Medicago truncatula: one gene and its partners. The protein of the gene in region 2 interacts with the protein of the main gene of each other region in a pairwise test. Links are inferred from orthologs where the notes say so. Each region holds a gene or a part of one and is shown on either strand. Other genes may lie near its edges.

The links.
Region 1: the proteins of DNA polymerase epsilon subunit 4 (region 2) and nuclear transcription factor Y subunit B-3 interact in a two-hybrid assay, tested with the Arabidopsis thaliana proteins (2 studies listed by BioGRID). The link is inferred for Medicago truncatula from reciprocal best matches to the Arabidopsis thaliana genes NF-YC10 and NF-YB7.
Region 3: the proteins of DNA polymerase epsilon subunit 4 (region 2) and nuclear transcription factor Y subunit B-3 interact in binary tests that used the Arabidopsis thaliana proteins (3 or more experiments, as listed by UniProt). The link is inferred for Medicago truncatula from reciprocal best matches to the Arabidopsis thaliana genes NF-YC10 and NF-YB3.

What each region holds. Positions count from the first base shown.
Region 1 is NC_053049.1:43,430,670-43,436,647, reverse strand, and holds nuclear transcription factor Y subunit B-3, read right to left. Parts: upstream 1,514-5,978; coding exon 869-1,513; downstream 1-868. Other genes in the region: gibberellin 20 oxidase 3, read left to right, coding at 1-102.
Region 2 is NC_053045.1:30,234,056-30,241,861, reverse strand, and holds the start of DNA polymerase epsilon subunit 4, read right to left. Parts: upstream 3,076-7,806; 5' UTR 2,893-3,075; coding exon 2,554-2,892; intron 2,476-2,553; coding exon 2,391-2,475; intron 947-2,390; exon of another isoform or gene 872-946; intron 371-871; coding exon 329-370; intron 209-328; coding exon 135-208; 3' UTR 1-134.
Region 3 is NC_053043.1:9,773,199-9,779,204, reverse strand, and holds nuclear transcription factor Y subunit B-3, read right to left. Parts: upstream 1,503-6,006; 5' UTR 1,359-1,502; coding exon 858-1,358; 3' UTR 566-857; downstream 1-565. UniProt on the Arabidopsis thaliana protein: Component of the NF-Y/HAP transcription factor complex. The NF-Y complex stimulates the transcription of various genes by recognizing and binding to a CCAAT motif in promoters.

The DNA of each region.
Region 1 (5,978 bases), on a different chromosome or scaffold from region 2:
ACTTGGAAACAATTTTTCGAGTTTACACAAAGGAAGCATAGGGCTGATCCCAACACTCTTCCAGATTTCGTCTCGTGGATTAATTCCAACTCAAGCTTCTAGTTACTGGGGAGTTTGTTTCTGATTAAGATTGCATTTCAGATATATAATAATTGCTACCTTTGTTGTTACCATATTTTCTATGTATACCTGCGTAGAATAATATCTACGAACAAACATTTAGTGTAGCTCATAATAAAATGAATTGCACCCAAACAATATGAACTATATTTTATTTTTAAATTTCTCCATGAATATATTTATTTTGTATGAGTAAATCATATTTTTCACTCGAGGGACAAGTTAGAATTATTTTTTCTCTCACAAAAGAAGTTAAAATGGCTAAATCAATTCTATTAGAGAATATCTAAGCATTCTCTGTCTCTCAAAAAAAAATCTAAGCATTCTCTAAGCACGTCAAAATTAATTATGCGCCTCTGAAATCAATTTTGCCTCTTTAAAAGGTGTAACTTAATTAACAAACCAGAATCCTCTCATGAGTCATTGGCCATCATAAGTACGTTGAGTGATTCTGTTTGAATATTGGCATATGATTGAATTTAGACTTGTTGTGCATATTCACTAATTAGTGCAACTTTTGTGCAATTTATCATTTTCCTTGTCAATATTACACGACAATCAATGACAAACAAAAGCTTCAAGATCATTTTATTTTGAAAAGTGGCAAAAAACATTACATTAATTGTATGTGTATATATACTCTTATACGCATAAATATAATTCTATATCTAAGATTACATTATATTGTTATATCAAAAAGAAAAGAAGAAGAAAAAAAAGACCAAACATAAAATTAGCTTGGTCTTACTCATTCATACCAATGCCCTATGGAATCAATCTGATCTTGCTGTCGTAATTGTTTTTGAATCGAATTTGGAGAGAAAGGAAGTGGAAATGGTTGATCAGTAGTCATATAAGGAGTTTGAGACATGAGATTTGTAGATGTATATACACTATTGTTGAAATGTTGATTATTTAATTCATCTTGGTTATGTTGATGTTGATGTTGATGTAGCCTTTGTTCAGATCTTTGTTGTTTTGGAACATTAACTTTCTCACCTTCAATATCTCTATATTTTTGAAGGTAACATTTTAATGGTTCCACATATTCTTCAAAGCCTAACGTTGTAATAGCCCAAATAATATCATCACCGTTGATTGTCTTTCTTTTTTCTCTTTGACATTTATCCGATGCTTCCCCGGTGACAAAACTTATGAACTCCGACACACATTCTTGAACTGTCTCTTTTGCATCCTTTGAGATTTTTCCATTTGCAGGAATAACTTTTTTCATTATTCTACCAACATTTGCTATAGGAAGAAAACGATCTTGTTCTTTATTGCTATTGTGATGATGATTATGATTATTGTTGTTGATTGTTTTTAAACAATGAGTTTCAGGGTTTTCTGTGTTGAATCCATTTGGCAAATTACTATGACTCTCATCATCCATTGGAACTAAATTAATGAGCTTATAGGATGTTACGTGACCTTACAATATTACATTTAAAATTTACATTATTGTATAGATAGATAAACTGAAAGTGAGGCATAAAAATAGGCAAGTAAGAAGGGTTAGTTAGGAGAAGTAAAAGTTAAAAAAAGAAAAATAGGCAAGTCCCCCGGACTCGTTCTAGATGTTGAGTACTTCATGTAACTGCCACGACCCGATCCAATTCCAACTTAGATAACACTATTATTGTCAATACAAATAGAAATACCCTTTGATGACAAATTACCAAACTTAATTAACTTTTTTTATTTTATTTTTTTGGACAATTTTTGCTGGTACAAATCTTTTTAATTTATTGATAGATGTTTTTGTTCAGTGTTGATTTGAAATAAAATTGATCCTTTACTTCATTTGTAATACTTATCTATAAAATTAAGCTTGAAATACTTGTCCAAATTATGTGGGTAAGTAATCATGTTTGTTTTCATAATCATTTTTGGACCTACCATTTCAATGTTAAATGATTCATAAATATATTTTAACGAAGTTGACTGAAAAATGAGTAGCGATGTACATGAATACCTACTCCCTCCGTTCCTTTTTAAGTGTCATTTTTGGAGAAATTTTTTGTTCCTATTTAACTGTCACTTTCGAAGTTCAATGCAACATTAAATGTTGTTTTACCAATATTGTCTTTAGTTTTTTATTGCGGAGAGAGAAATATATGATATAAGATATTAAATGAATAAGGTCATTATAGTAAAAGTATAGCTTATTGCATCAAAAGTAGTATCAATTGTTGATTGTCTTGATTTGTGTAAAATGTCAAAATGTGACAAATTAAAAAGGAACGGAGGTAGTATTATATTAGTCCCTCAATGTGCTTACTCAGTGTCATATTAACTTTATTTTATTTTTTTTGTCTTAGATGAAGTGGTAATCCACTGAAATTAAAACTCACACACAACTGTGAGGTCTCGGGTTCAAACCCATGTCATGACGTCCGGCCTTGCAATTTCGGCATTTGCCAGTTGAGCTAGGACTTCTTGACAATATTAATCTTTATTAGTATTTACTTATTATCATATTAGTCCTTATAAGAAAATAGTTATTGTAAATATTGAGGAACAATTTTATCATAAAAAACTATTTTGACTAAGGGAGTAAAAAATTAATGACTACTACATTTTAGAATTTCGACTATTGCGCTACTCATTACACATTCTGGATCAAAGTGATTATTACCTCCATTAACTATGGGGACGTGCTAAGGGCACAAGTTAAAAGCTAAAAAAGGAATTAATCAATGTTTACATGTTGAACTCATTTAAATACTAAAAAATTGGTATCTTGATCGTAGATACTCTTATGGATTGGTTGAAGGACACGGTGAAAATCGTGCATTTGACCCTATTTGAAGGGAGCTCTGGTTTTGAAAGAAACACCCTAGAGTAAGAGTACTCATGTAGAAGATTCTTAAAAAAATGGCGGGGTGGTGGCGACGTGGCGTTGTGTCCGGTCACGTGTGTAACGCTTATGAGGAAACTAACTCTCATATCCTTAGATATTGTGTGAAGGCCAAAGTGGTTTGGCTTAATTTTTCTAATTATCTCCACTTGATTTGGTTTTCAAGAAATCAAGTGGTTTTCCGGCATGATACGTTTGACTTGTGCGTAAGGTTATTCTTATGCATATGGGAAGGAGGCTAAGGTTGGTGCTTGAATTCAGATAGAATTATTGAGCTGAATCATGGTTCTGTTTTTCAACATATCCAATTTTGTTGGAAGGTCCTTCCATTAGATTAGATATTGTACAAATATAAATGGGTACGTATGTCTTGAATAACCATAGAGCGGCATGTACTTGTTTTGTTCGTATTTTGGAATAGAATCAGACGTTGGTGAACTTGTTTTGTTTGTATTTTGGGTACCTCAAAAATGTCGCTTTCGCAAGGTCCTTATGGAATGTGATTTGAAAGTTGTCGTAGGTTGAGATGATTGCTAATCAGATTGATAGTATTAGTATTATTAGTCCTTATTGGCGATTGCACGAAGAAATCAGATTGATAACAACTTATATATATTATCCCACTAAATAAATAAAAAACATCCAAGAACAACCGTTGTCCCTCTATTTATGTAGTTTCTGAATTTTGTCCTTCATCTTATTTTTTGGTTTTTTTTTTAAGGGTTAATGGTGTTTTACCCCTGTAATATAGGTCATTTTTTATTTTCTTCAGTAAAATATTTTTTTGATTTACCCCTGTAAAATATATATTTTTTGGAATACCCCCTAATAGGTCATAAAAAAACGACTTTATTATTTTTTTTTTTTACAGAATTTTTCGTTTTTTTATGACCTATTAGGGGGGTATTCCAAAAAATATATATTTTACAGGGGGTAAATCAAAAAAAATATTTTACAGGAGGGAAAACAAAAAAATAACCTATATTACAGGGGATAAAGCACCATTAACCCTTTTTTTTATAATGTGGCCTATTGATTTATGACGTAACAACGCTTAATAGGCCACAACAAACATTCATGTAAACAAAATCATGTCTAGTAAATATTGTCATGTTATAAATGACTAGGTCATATCATCAAGAAATGTTTAAATAAGATGAGAGGCCAAAAATCCAAAAAATAAAAAAATTAAATACAAGGACAAAAAACTTAATTTTAGAATAAGGGGACCAAAACCACTTTACTTTTTTTTTTAATAGAAGAACAAAAGCGCATTTAAACCAAAAGAAAAAAAAAACAATTAGTCATTACTTTGTAAGATGCTTTCAAATATGTCCAATGAAATTGTGAATATTTTAAAAAGTTCATTAACTCTATTAAACTATCATGTTAATCCCTATATTTAATCACTTATTATCAATTAGGTTGTTTATATTAGGTACTTACTACCGTATAAAGTTTGTCACAATATTTAACCACTTGCTATCAATTTAGTCTCTAACACTACTATCAAAGGGTTAATAGGGGTATATTTGACAAAATCAGAGACCTTTTAAACATATTTATAATTTCATAGAACTATTTAAAAGTGTTCTACAAAGTTGAACACGGAATTAAAACGTGGAAATGAAATCTATTTTTAGAATGAATTTGGGTTAACAAGCTAAATGAATGACTGTATGAAAATTCGTGTCACGATAATTGTTACTCCCTCCGCCTCATAATAATTGTCTTTTTATCATCTTTTTTTTCTCTCAAAATAATTGTCATTTTAGAATATCAATGAATCGTTTATTATTATTTTCCATTATTATACTTTTATTTATTGAATTTCATTCAACTGAACTACTTCACTAACTACAATTAATAAGGGTACAATTAATTAGGGTTTTTTAGTAAATGATATTAATTTTACCATCGAAATCAACATAATTAATCATTTCTTTAATAATCGTACACAAATCTTAAACGACTACTATTATTTAGAGATGGAGGGAGCAAATATAAGAAAGATGCCTAAAATATATACAAAACAAACAACAACAACAACAACAAAAAAGCTGAATCAAAAGTAATAGCAAATATATATTCAAGACAATTTAGACCTAACAGATTGTTTCTCACATTAAATAAGAGATGAACTCAACAATGTTTATGAATGGGTGACAATGCAATCTCTTGGTGGGAGCTCTATATTGTGGTGGCAAGTACAATTAAAATGAAACACCAATACTATAGAGAATAACAAATATTTCAAGTATAAAATAATATATTGGCATGTTGAAGAAAGAAATGCTCCACCGTGATCAATGGTGGTGGTATTGTTAGTAGCTTCCATTTTTCTGCAAAATGAACACAGAAATAGAATGGAATTAGAGTGAGAGAAATAGTTCGTAGGCAAATTCTATGGTACACCCAATATATTTGAATGTACTGCTACATCCACTCTTTAAATTAATAGTTAAATGAGTTGTTTTTTGATAAAAAAAAAAAAAAAAAATTATCATTTATAATTATAATAACTAAATCTTATTCATCAAAAGTGTCAACGAATTAAAATTAATATTTTTTGAATTTTTATCACCCATAAATTGAGAACATTGATTATTTTTTTACGATAATATGTAAAAATATTACTAAAATTCTTATAAACAATGAAATGATGTTTTTTCTTATGAAATGATATTCTTTAAAATATAAATGTTGATAAATAGTTATTTATTTCACAAAAAATGATCATTAATTTATAAAATTATGAAGCAAGAGTACCGGTACACCTCATTTTGTGAGTGTACCGTAAAAGTTTCCAACCGTTTTTGCTTATGTGCTAGCAATCAGCATACTAGCATTTACCGAGCATGTGTATAATTTTTTTTACTGACAAATGTTAATTAAAAAAAAAAAAAAAACTCAATAAAATAGGTTCAAGCTTAGGCTCATGTCGATCAGTTTGACCTTTCTTCACGCATAAATGTATCAATGAAATATTGAATAATTT
Region 2 (7,806 bases):
GTGCAACGGTAAATACACTATGGAGATGTAAAACAGTGCATTACTAAGTACTAACCATCATACATGTTTCCATTTCAGAATGTGTTTAACAAAAGAATTGACTTAGGTTCACCACTTTCTGTGTTTTACATTTCCTAACCTCCTTTATTCCCTCTTGAGTTTGTCTCTCTTAATGCATCCTCAGCTTTCACTTTCTCAGGAACAAAGTCTGAACAAGCAAAAACAATGCAGAAACCCTTTTAATTAGTGGTAAATAAATACATGGAAAGGTGAACTTCAAATATTTCAATGGTCACCAGATTAAATTTCAACAGGGATAAGAAATTACCGGACAGAAAGTCATATCTTTTTTGCTTACTAACAACACGTGCTGAAACACAAAGCAGTTGTCTTATCAGTAATTGGAAAAAAGGTCTCAATGAACAAACAGCACATAAATAAACATGCACAAGGATCAATTCCAATGGACATACAAAGTAGCATTTTTACAACCTACTTATGGCATAGGTCAAATATTAAGCCTTATGTTGGTTCATATTTTCAATTTAACACTGCTAAGTGCAGACCAAAAACAAAACAAACAAGGTTTTACGAAATTTTGTTGAACACACCCTCCTCGCTTTTGCTCTTATTGATAGAGATCAAAGTAAAAAAAACTAACAGAACAAAAGACTTACGGTGAATGATAACTCCCAGTGCCTAATTAATGGGTTAGATTAATGATTTTTCTCTTGACAACTACCAGATTTTTATTCATGATAATGATAGAGATTTCCTTCAATATTGCACAGGGAAAAAGAAAGCAATGTTTGAAATGGCTTGCAATGACAGCAATTATACAAAAGAGTAAAAGAAAATATTAAAAAAATACCTCCACCATTCCCTTTTCTAGTTTACAGCACTGAAGAAGTTTAATGATTTTACCATATCTCTGAACCATTTGACCCTAACTTAATAATAGGTTAATTTTAGTTCATGTGAATCAGAATATAGGTTTCTAGAACAAAGTAGTGGTGATATTTATAAGTGAATGGGTTGAAAACCATTCAGAAGTGAATAGAGGAAAAGGTTCAAGAGAAATAATAACTGAAAATTCATCACACTTCACATCACATGGAGAGATAATCAATCAATATGCAAAATCGTATATGAACTGAATCGTTACTAGTATCGCACAACATGTTTTCATCCATGTGTCTTATCATCCATGCCTTCTAAGTCCCCATGAACTGATAGGCTTAATATGATTGGTTGAATAGATTTTGTAACATTTTTATGCGGGGAAAAAACTTCATACTGAATTCATTCAATATTTACTATTAACTAGATTTCATTTGGGACAGCTGCTAGATTGTAAGCCTCAATGTACCAAAAAAATAAAACCAGTTTGATATTCCCTACCTTAAGGGCAAAAGCTCTTTCAAAACTCAACTTACCTATCCGTTATTCTCCTCAGAAAAGTAACCACAAATGCCTAAGAATTCTACTCAAGCAGTTCATTTTTAAAGTACAAAAGATCACTGCTAACTTGCTAAGTTATGATCACATTGTTATTTACTCAAAAAAAAATTACATTGTTATTGATGACAAATATTTTTGCATGAAAACACAACAAAACTAGTAAATGACCAATCACAAGGTAACAAATGGTCAAAAACAATAAACGGACGGATAACAGTACTTAGAGACGTACAAAATTGACAATCCACTCTCACATATTAATTTGTAACTGTTTGAGCAGAATGCATATTTCTCACTCAAAAGCACTTATATTATAATAATAATCATAGCCTAATAGATTACAAAACCTAAATGTCCAAGCCAATATTTTCCAACAAAGAAAAGCATCCCTTAAGTTCCAAGAATATAGACGCTAATTTGTATTGACTTATTTGAGCTTGTCTATTAGCATAAGTTTTGTGAGCCTATTTGGGAGAACTTATGAAAACAGCTTATGACAATTTTCAAAAGCTTTTCTCAGGTTATTTTCATAAGTTCTCTAATTTAACTTGTAAGAACAACTTATAGCATATACAAAAATAATATAACTTTATTTTATCCTTTCTATAGAAATAGCTTATGTGAGCTTATACATAAGCGCTTATCATGATAAGCTGCAAATAAGTTGTTTATCCAAATTAGCCCAAACACTGACATTAACACATAGACACCCATAAGCTACTAGATTTGGGCTATTGCTAGTGCGCTGATATGCCATGAATCCCAGACATAAGCACTTGACATTAACATAACACATAGACACCGAAAATAATTTAAACGCAACCACATTTGTCGGTGTTGGACACTGACACATACCAAACACCAAACACAAGTAGCAAGTACAAATATAACAGCTTATAGAAAAAAGTAGAGAGCAACAGGGACATTACATAGATGATTGTAGCTCAAAGATTTCTTCCGATCCTGAGCACAACAACCATAAGCATCTTCCGCTAATTGTTCAAGAAACTTCTCCTATAAAACACAAAAACCGAATCAAAAACACATAACAATAACCAATACAAACATCAACATAAAAATTCATAAAATTACCGCAGCATTGTTAATAGCCAATATAGCTTCCTGAGAAACACGCAAATCGCTAATTTCACCCTTTAACATCGTCCTAATTCGATTCATAGGAAACACATGCGTTTTCGCATCTTCTTCTTCGTCATCATCCTTTGCATGTTTCTTTTTTCTTCCACTTTCTTCCTGTTCTTTGGAATTTCCATTTGTGAAATTGAGCTTCTTCTTATTCTTGTTGTTGTTTTCTTTGGATTTTTCAATGTTTTTGTTGTCTTTCTTGATTTTGCTTGTAGGAGTTGAGGTTTGTGGTTTTTTGGTTTTCTTCTTGTTGTTTTCTGCTACTGAATTGTTGGAAGAAGCCATTGTGATTTTACTTTGATAAGTGATTATTCAGTACAAGCACTTTTCCTTTCAGCTTACACTGAGTTCACTTTCACGGTGTTTCTGACACAAGGGTTTACTTTCTGTACGAACCGGGTTTTGAAGATGAAACGTACGGGTAATTCGGTTTGAAATAATATGGCCCAGTTCGACCCGAAAAATCTGTTAATGCTATTCGGCCTAATGTATTGGGAATGCTATTAGCAGTTTAGCACCCAAATCTTATACACTTATAAAAAAAGAAAAAATATTGGGCATATCTACATGCAACAAAGGAGACACCTTTCACCTCATAATATGTTTTGATACAATGAATTGGTTCAAGTGATAACAGATCTAAACTTTATAACTAAATGGTTAGGAGTTCGATCGATGCATCCTGTGTATGAAAAAATCTTGTTGTAGGGGGGAATACACCTTGTGTGTGCTCCGCATGTTTTCTAACGAAGATTAATCGTGCCTTAAGCGTCGGTGAAAACTTCATATCAATATCATGATAACTGGAAAAAGAAAAATGGATTGTCCTAATTTGATTCTCATGGAGTAATTTTTTTTAGTTTTGAACAACTTTTTGTTTGGTTAATATTAGCACAATAAAACTTATATATAAAAGTCTTTTTATGTACAATACACTAAAAGTCTTTAAATAAATATAAATTTTGAACATGCGAAAATATAGTATCAGTCGAAGTTATGATTTTAGGCTTCAAAGTTTTTGCTCAAAAAATTTTCTAAAAAAATTAATTTTCTAAAAAATATATAATATGACTAACTAATGGTAGTGTTGTTGTGTGCAAGTGTTACTTATATGTCCTACATCGGATAAAAAAAAATAAAGGTTGAACACCTTATTAGTAAGAGGACCCATAAACTCATTGTCTTAATGTTTTGGGTAAGAGTGTGGTGTCTCTCTTGCTTGTGAGGTTGTTCTAGCCTCAATGTGGACGGTCCCCCAAAGCTCCCCTCACTGACCCAACAGTGGTATCGGAGCCCCGTTCGACGAAGGGTATGACCGAGACAGTCAGTCCGTTTGTGCATAAAGCAACAACGACGGTACAAGTAGTGTCGGTCCGTTTGCGGAGAAACCAGCAACGACGATTCAAGCAAGTAAGAGCTTTCGCTTGAAGGGGGAGCACGATGAAAAGATGGACTCACACCATGATGAAAATATGGACTCACACTTAAGGAGGGGTGTTGTTGTGTGCAAGTGTGACTTATATGTCCCACATCGGATAAAATACGAAAGGTTGAACACCTTATAAGTAAGAGGACCCATAAACATATTGCCTTAAGGTTTTGGGTAAGAATGTGGTGTCTCTCTCGCTTATGTGGTTGTTTTAGTCTCGATGTGGACAGTCCCTCAGGCTCCCCTCATGACCCAACAGGTAGATGTTCGCCAAGTTAAATTAGTGAAAATGAAAGCTTCATATATGCCTAACCTAGGTTCAAATTTAAGACTAACTCGGATTCTATATCTTTAATTTAAAAGGCATCACTATGGAAATTTATTTAAGTCTTTAAATATGTTGTTTTAGCCTCGATGTGGATGGTCCCTCAGGCTCCCCTATGACCCAACAAGTAGATGTTATCCAAGTTAAATTAGTGAAAATGAGAGCTTCATATATGCCTAACCTAAGTTCAAATTTAAGACTCTACGAAACTCGGTTTCTATATCTTTAATTTAAAAGGCATCACTATGAAAATTTATTTAAGTCTTTAAACGTGTTGAGGTTGTCCTCCAAATATATATGAGAAATGTACCTTGCTATTAGCTTAATGGGAGAGTATATTTCATCTATGTAAAAAGAGAAACGATACTTGTACAATTATTTTGTGATATTTTTTGTGACAATTTTCTCTCTCATACTCATATTATGTTTTATTTTATCTCTTTATTGTCTTGATTTTCATGTCGATATATACTTTTTCTTTATAAATTTATAGTTTTCACATAAGTTGTCAATAAAATAGTTGTTTAAAAACACAACTCATGTAGAAAATGACTCCAAAATCGTAATAGACAAGGTTACTGACAACGTATCTTAGTGGGGGTGTAGATCCTCTCCACTAAAAAATTTCTCAATTTTTTTCAAGTTGAATCACAACCATCAAACATGACAGAGAGAAAATAAAAGTTAAATTATAAAGAAAAGTAGTTGTGTGTTTTAAAACTGGAGAATGAAAATGGAGAAAAACTGAACGAATTTTCAATGGAGAGAATCAAAACCCCTAAGTGGGATGTGTCGGTTTTAGTTTGTCATATTTGCAAGCTTTCGAATTTGAATTGGCATGCATGTTCGATTTAATCAAACATGATATGAGGTTAACATATGTGTTGTTTGCGATTTTTTAACCTTGTTTGACGTGATATTGGGCTTGACCTGGTCTAATAGGTTTCTTTTGATGATATCTCTAACATTTATTGTTCTCAATACCACGTTTGTCGACCTATATGAGCACAAGACTTAAAATGTACGTGTCATTAGTTCTAACCCTAACATCTACTTCAACTTAAACGTTAGAGTGTTTTCCATCGTCAGTATATCCACCTCGGATTTTGACCTCCACATTCATTCATGAAGATTCTACAATTTACCATTGTCGTAAGATTTCGCATCTTGAACTCTTTTTTTTTTTTTTACCAAAACTTGAAACTTATCCCGTCTCGAAACATCCCTCATAAAAATAAATACAAAAGCCTAAATCTAGCTAGCATAAAGGAATATTATAGATAAGGCGTATAATCTTGAACTTAGTTATCCCAAAGCTAGGTACAAATTACACTCATTGGCATCTTGCTGAGAGAGTCCTCGTTCACACACACAAGTAACACACAATTTGAAACATAGACATGCATAGATAGGATGAGTAAATCATAAATCAAGTACACAATAAGTAAGTATGTATGAATAGATGAACACACAATTACAAACAGACACAACATTACGTAACTCAACATAGTACATCTCATTGTGTTTGTTTTCTGCTCCCATAGAAAGAAACATCCTCAAACAAAAAGACCATATAGACAACTAACTAGTACAAGTTTTCACATAAGTCTGAAAGGAATCATCATTCCCTCTCACAAGTACATGTATGTAAATCGAACACCGTCCTCACTTCTCGAGTCTCAGATTCACTCATGATCACATTGATGCTCACCACAACAAACACGACGTATTTAATTAATTACTATTAATTATTACAAGCATACTCGAAATTTGTCCCTTATATATGTTGTATTTTAGATATTTCAAAAGTAATTAATAGCAAACAATTTATAAGATAAATTTTTTTTTAAGAAATTTATAGGATAATTTTGGTTCATTTCAATTGTTTGATTTTATAAATATTTATAAAATCAAACAAGTTATCCGTATTTTGATTCACGTGCCTTTTCTAGAATAAAATTAGTCTTTTATTCACTCCATGATTATTATTTATGGTGTGTTTCATTGTGATGTCATATAAAGAAGAGAGATTGCGAGAAAAGAAAAATAAGTGAGAAATATAGTCAATTGGCTGATTGTTTGGTTTAAGATAATGAATTGAGAAATAGTATATGATGCATTGTCCCAAATTTCTTATAGATGGTGGCAAATATAGAAAACTTGCATTGAAGTAAACATGACATGCATGCAAAGAATGAGTTAAAACTTAACGTGCATCAACCATAGAACCCAACCTCCAGAAAGAAAAAATCTCAAGCATTGAAATCATTGATAAAAAAATACAAACATTAAACTTATTATTTTATATCATTAATTTTTATATTATTTTGTATTTTGGTTAAAACTACATTTTTAAGAAATACAAAATAATACAAAAATTAATCTTCAAATAGGTTTAATTTCCTTTCATGTTTTTATAGTATTAATTAGGCCAAATACAACTTTTAGTCATTTTAGTTTGACATAATTATCAAGTTAGTCCTTGAAGTTTCGAAAGTTTCAATTAGGTTCTTTTAGTTTGACAGAATTCCCAAGTTAGTCCTTTAAGTTCAAAGGTTTCAAATAGGTAATTTTAGTTTGACAGAATTCTCAAGTCAGCTAGTCCTTTTAAGTTTCAACAGTTTCAAACTAAAAGGAGCTATTTGAAACTTTTGAAACGGTTACGGTGAAATAGTTTATCAACTAAAAGAACCTATTTGAAACTTTTTAATCTTAACGGACTAACTTAAGAATTCTGTCAAACTAAAATGACCTAATTGAAACTTTCGTAACTTGGGAATTCTGTCAAACTAAAAGGACCAAAAGTGGTATTTGGCCTATTAATTATTGTCCCTTCACACTAATGCCATTTAAACTTCTTTTTTTTTTTGCACAAGTTAAAATGAAATATATTAATAATGCAGATGAAACACCCAACATAAGACTTGCAAAAAGCGAGACACCGCAAAATATTTACAGACAACCATATGCCAGAAAATGAAAGGCACCCTCAAGTAACAGTTAAGATAAATTACTGGTGCACTCCCATACAAAGGAGCGGATGTGTCCATCAATCATAATAACAGTAATTAAAAAAAAAATGTTCTTTGCTTTCAACCACAAAAAAGAGTTGCGTTTGATTTTCTCCATAAGAACGAGATAATGTGTTGCCTCGTTTTGGAAAATATGTTTGTTCCGATCTTTCCATATCACTCAAACACAAGCATACCATATACCTGTAAAATAAGAGTGTATACCCCGGGGAAGTTCCACCATAGAGCAAAACTGAAGGTAGTGCTGTCAAAGATCATTAGAATATACCAAAGACAAGTCTAACCAAGTTGATACCAACGACCATAATATAAAAGAATTACCGCAAGATAAAAATAAGTGACCTGCCGTTTCCATAACTTCACACCCAAGCACACACAATGAATTATTTGTGTGAACTAAATTCCTTCGTGAC
Region 3 (6,006 bases), on a different chromosome or scaffold from region 2:
GGCTTCGTGATAATATTCTCGCTATATTTAACGTCTTCGATTTTCGAAACATGTTGATAATAAACTTATAAGACCAACCTATTGTGTGATCAAAACATACCAATTAATAACATCAATTAGCTACTCAATTCTAACATCAATGGGTTCTTCAATAAATTCATAGTCTAGTTTCTAATTAAAGGACGTATATGATCAATGTAACAAAGAAGTAGGTGTATATAACAGAAATAGTACACAACACAACAAACTATATGGAAAATGTTAGATATCAAGAATGATTTGATCAAGAAATATTTAAGAATGACATGACAGAATAATCACCTTTAGATTTCAGTCTTATTTATTCACTTTTCATAAAAAAAAAAATACATAACACCCACCACCCCATGATTTCCGGTGAGGCTGAGATTTTATTAGCTAACATTAATTTCGGGACAATTTCTTGATAAAATTTAAGGGTGATTATTCTGTCATGTCATTCTTAAATCTTTCTTAATAAAATCTTTCTTAATATATAGCATTGCTCCAAACTATACATGCATCATTTATCACCTCCCACAAAAAATAAAAAGAAAAATACTTTTTGCATTAATTCCAAACCACCATCCATAATGTTTCACTGTACCCTCAACAACAAATTAAATTGCAACAATATATCTAGGGTACTCTAAATTAAAAAAAAAAATAGATGAATTTATATCAAACATATGCATACATAAACCTGTTGTCTAGCCAAGAGTATTTAGATGAGATGACTCCGATTTCTTTCGGTTTAATTATAGATTTTGAGTTCGTATTCTTAAGACAGAAGTTTTCTGCTCATTATGATCTTATCTGACTCGAGAGATTAGTCTCTGCTATCGAGTACTCCTTCCAGAAGATGGCGATCCACTCCCAGATCCATACATATTATGTCCCATCATCATCATCATAGAAGATGGAACTCCAACTCCATGACCATAAACTCCACCACTACCCTCACCAACATTCCCATCTCTCTGATCACTCCTACCAATCATAGCACTCTTCTCTCCTTCCATCTCCCTATACTTACTCAAATAAATCTTGAGTGGCTCAACATAATCTTCAAATCCAAGAGTTGTCATAGCCCAAAGAAGATCATCACCGTTGATTGTTTTCCTCTTCTCTTTCTGACACTTATCAGAAGCTTCTCCAGTTATGAAACTGATAAACTCTGATACACACTCTTGTACTGTTTCTTTTGCTTCTTTTGAGATCTTTGCGTTTGCTGGTAAAGCCTTTTTCATGATCCTACTCACGTTTGCTATTGGAAGAAACCTATCTTGCTCTCTGCAACCTGTTTGACCACCTCCTGACTCATTGTCTGATTCAGCCATAGTTGCAAACCTATCTTTGAAATGCTACCAACCATATATGGTCTTATTATATGTGTGTATGCATTTATATATTCATTCATATGCTAACATAATAAAATATTGTTGTCACTGGTGTGAAGTGAGGAAGAAAAAAAAAAACCATAGTGTAAACTATATATAATGATTTGGATTAGATTGTGGGATTCCTTGGATTCATCTAGATATAATTATAAAGAATTTTTGTGCTCATAAAAAAATGTGGGTGGGGTGGTACCTACAAAGAATAATTAATTCAAAATTTAAATTCACTTACAAATAATTAGAGGTTGAATATAACATGAACAAAATTATAGAATATGAGAGCGTTTACTATTAATTAAAGAGAGTCATGCTAACAAGTGTCCTGAGTTTCTTGGATTCATCTAGATAAAAAAAAATGTGGGTGGTGGGTGGCGCCTACAAAGAAAAATTAATACAAAATTAAAATTCACTTGCAAATAATTAGAGGTTGAATATACAATGAACAAAATCATAGAATATGAGTACGTTTATTATTAATTAAAGAGAGTCATGTTAACGAGTGCCATAAATTTCTTGGATTCATCTAGATAAAAAAAAATGTGGGTAGTGGTGCCTACAAAGAAGAATTAATACAAAATTAAAATTCACTTAAAAATAATTAGTTGTCACATACACACTCAATAAAATTATAGAACATATGAGAGTTGTTTATTATTAATCAAATTAGGAAAATGTTTTTTGTACACAAAAAAAATTAGGAAAATCTTTGTCAAGGAATTAAATATAACAATACATTGAAAGTTGTATACTCAACTTTTAAAATATTTAAAAATGTTACTGTCAATACAAAACTTTCATTTTGAGTTCACTTAGTAGCATGACTCATAGAATTTTAGTTTTCTTTAATGTAACCAACCAACAAGTATATAAAAAGTGAAGATAAAAAAGTAGGTATGGTATCAAAATGTGGAAAAATTAATTAATGAAAAAGTTTGGAAATTGGCGGGTGAATTATATAATTCATAGGAATGGGGGGAGGGGGGAAGTGGGCAAGTGGGGAATGTATGGGTGTTGATGAGTGATGTCTGTGTGTGTGAATTATAGAATTAAATTTAGAAAAAATTACCTCATATCATCTCAATTATACCTCTATCTCCAAAATTAATCAAATTTTACCCTTATTTTGAAAATCCACTTATGATTCCGGCAAATTCAGTTTTCAAAATTGTCATGATGAATATTCATTAAAAAAGTTGCGGGAGCGTGTGGAATCTGACTTTGAAATTTTGTTTTGTAATAGTATACGTAAGTTATTTTAAGAAGTTCATAACGTTTATGAAGATAGATGTATAAATGTAGATGCATATGGTAAAAAATATTTGAATTCTGACTATTTGACGCACATCTCATATAATGTGGAAAAGAAACACTAACTTCAACAATGATTTAAGATGAAATAGGTATAATTTACAATTTATAGTGAATTAAACTAGTGTGTTTAACTTTTAAAAATAAGTTATTTATGATGAAATTTACCAAATCATATAATTAGTATGAACAAAAAGTCCAACCACCTCTTCCAAAATCATATCATATAATTAGTATGAACAGAAAAGAATGTATAATTGTTGTGGTACTGTATTGAGACGTGGATATTTTGAGGCCATTCATGTCTAAGAAGGGGAATATCACGTGTGTTTGAATTTTAACATTGACTTGGAACTGCATGGACCTTAGAATCCAAGCATCCATGTCACTGCTGAAAGGAGACAATGGTGTAAGGACACCTTTAATGGTGCAACTCAACAAGACTACAATAGTATTGTCATGCTCCCCTATCACTTTAAAGTAATTCTTTCATTTTTTGTTTTAATGGTGTCCTTAACCTACAAGTTGGTGGACTAAAATCAAATTGGAGGTGTTCTAAGTTATCTCAAAAGTAAAAAGTAGGCTTGGTTGAACGAAAGGTGGTGCATGTTGTGACATTAAACACATTTTTTTGTTTTTGTTTTAGGTCTCTCCTATAGCCGTAAGTTTGAGATTAATCTTTCAAAATATGAAGATTCAATTAAAAGTTAACTTTTTGAACAAGTGTTATTTCATATGCATCGATAAGAGATTGAACGTATGATCACATGCCTAAAATAGACAATTATTTGTCAATTATATATGCCATAGAAAAATTCGTATATAATGAATATAATTCTAGTATGAAGTGTGCTGAGCACATTTACTTGATGTTTGTTTCATTTTAGCTACCAAATATATTAAATGCTTGTTTGAATTTGGGATGAGTTTAACAAAATGACGATGAGTCACCGTAAATTTACAAAAGATATACTTTGAAGCTTCTATAAAATCACGGTGACACCATAATTTCAATCAACCAATCGTGATACCAAATATGTCATAAGTGCATATTTGGAATCACGAATATATTTCTACCCTCCCAATCAAAAAAAATTATAAGCCGGAGTCAAAAATCGAATTTCTGACTGCATGCTTAAGAGACTCAAGTCTCTTACCAATTAGACCAATCCATTGTTGACGTTGAAGATAGATTTTGATGATTCATGTTTAAGTCTCATTTTTATCTTTTACAATAATTATATAATTGAGTTTAATATCTTTAAAGATAAAAATCAATTTTACTCTATCACAAAAATAAATTGAGACAATAAGTTAAGGTCATGTTAATCAGTGCCTTCGAAACACTGGTTAAGGAAATAAAAAAAAAAAATTATAAATAAAAAAATATATACTTTTTAAGCTTTTAATATATTGATTACACAACCACCACCCGTGCCTAACATTTCCCATAAGTTAATTCATAAACCAAAAGTCTGCAGACAAATGTAAAAATGTGGCATTAGCGTTATGACCTTTGATACGACGTGGATTTAGTCATTTGTGAGGGACAATTTCTATACATTGTGAATGTCCTCCTTCTCTCTTTGAGCCCCTTTTTTTCATTTCCTTTGGCGATGTTATGTATTTTTGGATTTGTTGATATTAATGAATGAAGATAATGGTGTTTGTTTAGATTTGTTTGAAAGAAAAAGTTATTATTGAGATCAAAATATACCTTCTCAATTTGATCCCTGGTAAAATAAGAAAAAATTATTTTGATCCTTGTGCATAAACCTACAATAGTAAAGCCATTGGAGTTTGAATGAACGGTATTAGGAATAACAATGATTTGAAAATCAGAATCAGCATAAAAGATTGTCTATACACACACTCTTTATGAACTACTTCCTCCGAAATAAAATATAAAAAAAAAAAATTTAAAAAGTTGATGTATGAAGTTAAAAATTTAGTTCACTTACATCAACTTTTCAATTACATTTTTTTACTTGCATTTCGTTCTGGAGGGAGTATAGTCGCGTTGCCATACTACTATATTCTTCCCTTTGTGTGTGTACTACTACATTAAGACAAATCCAGCAGCATCCCTCACTTGATTGCAACTAATTTAATTAACATTTATGAAAGACCATAAAAAAAAAAAAATAATAGTACGTACTTGTTTCATTTAGACCTCAAGTATGTTATATCGTGTTTTGAGGTATTGTTTATTTTAGATGTAAATTTTTTACGGTTTTATTCTTTATAAAAATTGTTTCATTGTGTTGAGGAGTATAAGTGTTGTATATATATTAGGACAATTTATATTGACTTCTAAACGACGTGGGATTTTAAGGTATTTCGAAAGAGGACTGATTCTTAAATAAAACATCAATCCACCACTTTGGGCCATCTGGCAGTTAATCATGAACTATGGGGGCCCAAGTTTTCATTTTAAAGGTCAGTGCCGATGAAACATCACACCAATTGCTCCACGATGTCACTTGAAATTTATGATTAGTTTGATGCTAATTGGTTGGCTTTCATGTTGATAGCAAAGGTATAAGGGTTCCACTTTCACGTCATCAATATATGCTTCTGAAGACTCATACTAGACACCTCTCATCATGGGACTAAAGATTTGTATCCTACAGTGTTGTCCACTAAGACAATAATTAAGTGTCTAAACCCATGGAAAATAATGTTAGCTGACTTAAGCATTATCAAATGAATATCTTAACCTTAACTCATTTTCTTTTTTTGGTGTCCGGGATTTGAACTCTGGAACTTGCAAATATTATGCATTGTTCTTATCAACTGAGTTAAGCTCACATAGACACCTTATCTCATTTTTGGATGATTGATTCTAGTTCACTCGAATTATTAGAAAAAGTTTATCATTGTTAGTTACTCCCTCCGTCCCTTAATGTAGCCATCCATTGCATTTTTCACATTTCTTAAGAAATGTTGTCAGTGTAATTAATGTGTCTGTTTTGTGTGTTAATATTACCAAATTATTCTTTGTTTGTATGTGTATTAAATTTGTCTTATCGTATTTCAAGACAAGTTAGTAGTATTAATTAAGGGTATGTTTAGGAAAAAAATAATAAATGCATCTAATAATTTGAAAGGGTGTTTACATTTAGAAACAAAAATAAAATCAAATGGAGATTTATATACATGAACCAACCAGGGAAGTAAACAATTGACATGGGAAAAGGTGATAAATCAGAAATAAAACATTATGACAATTCTCTTATTTGGAGCAGTTAGTTCAACTCTCTAATTTTTGCAGCGATGA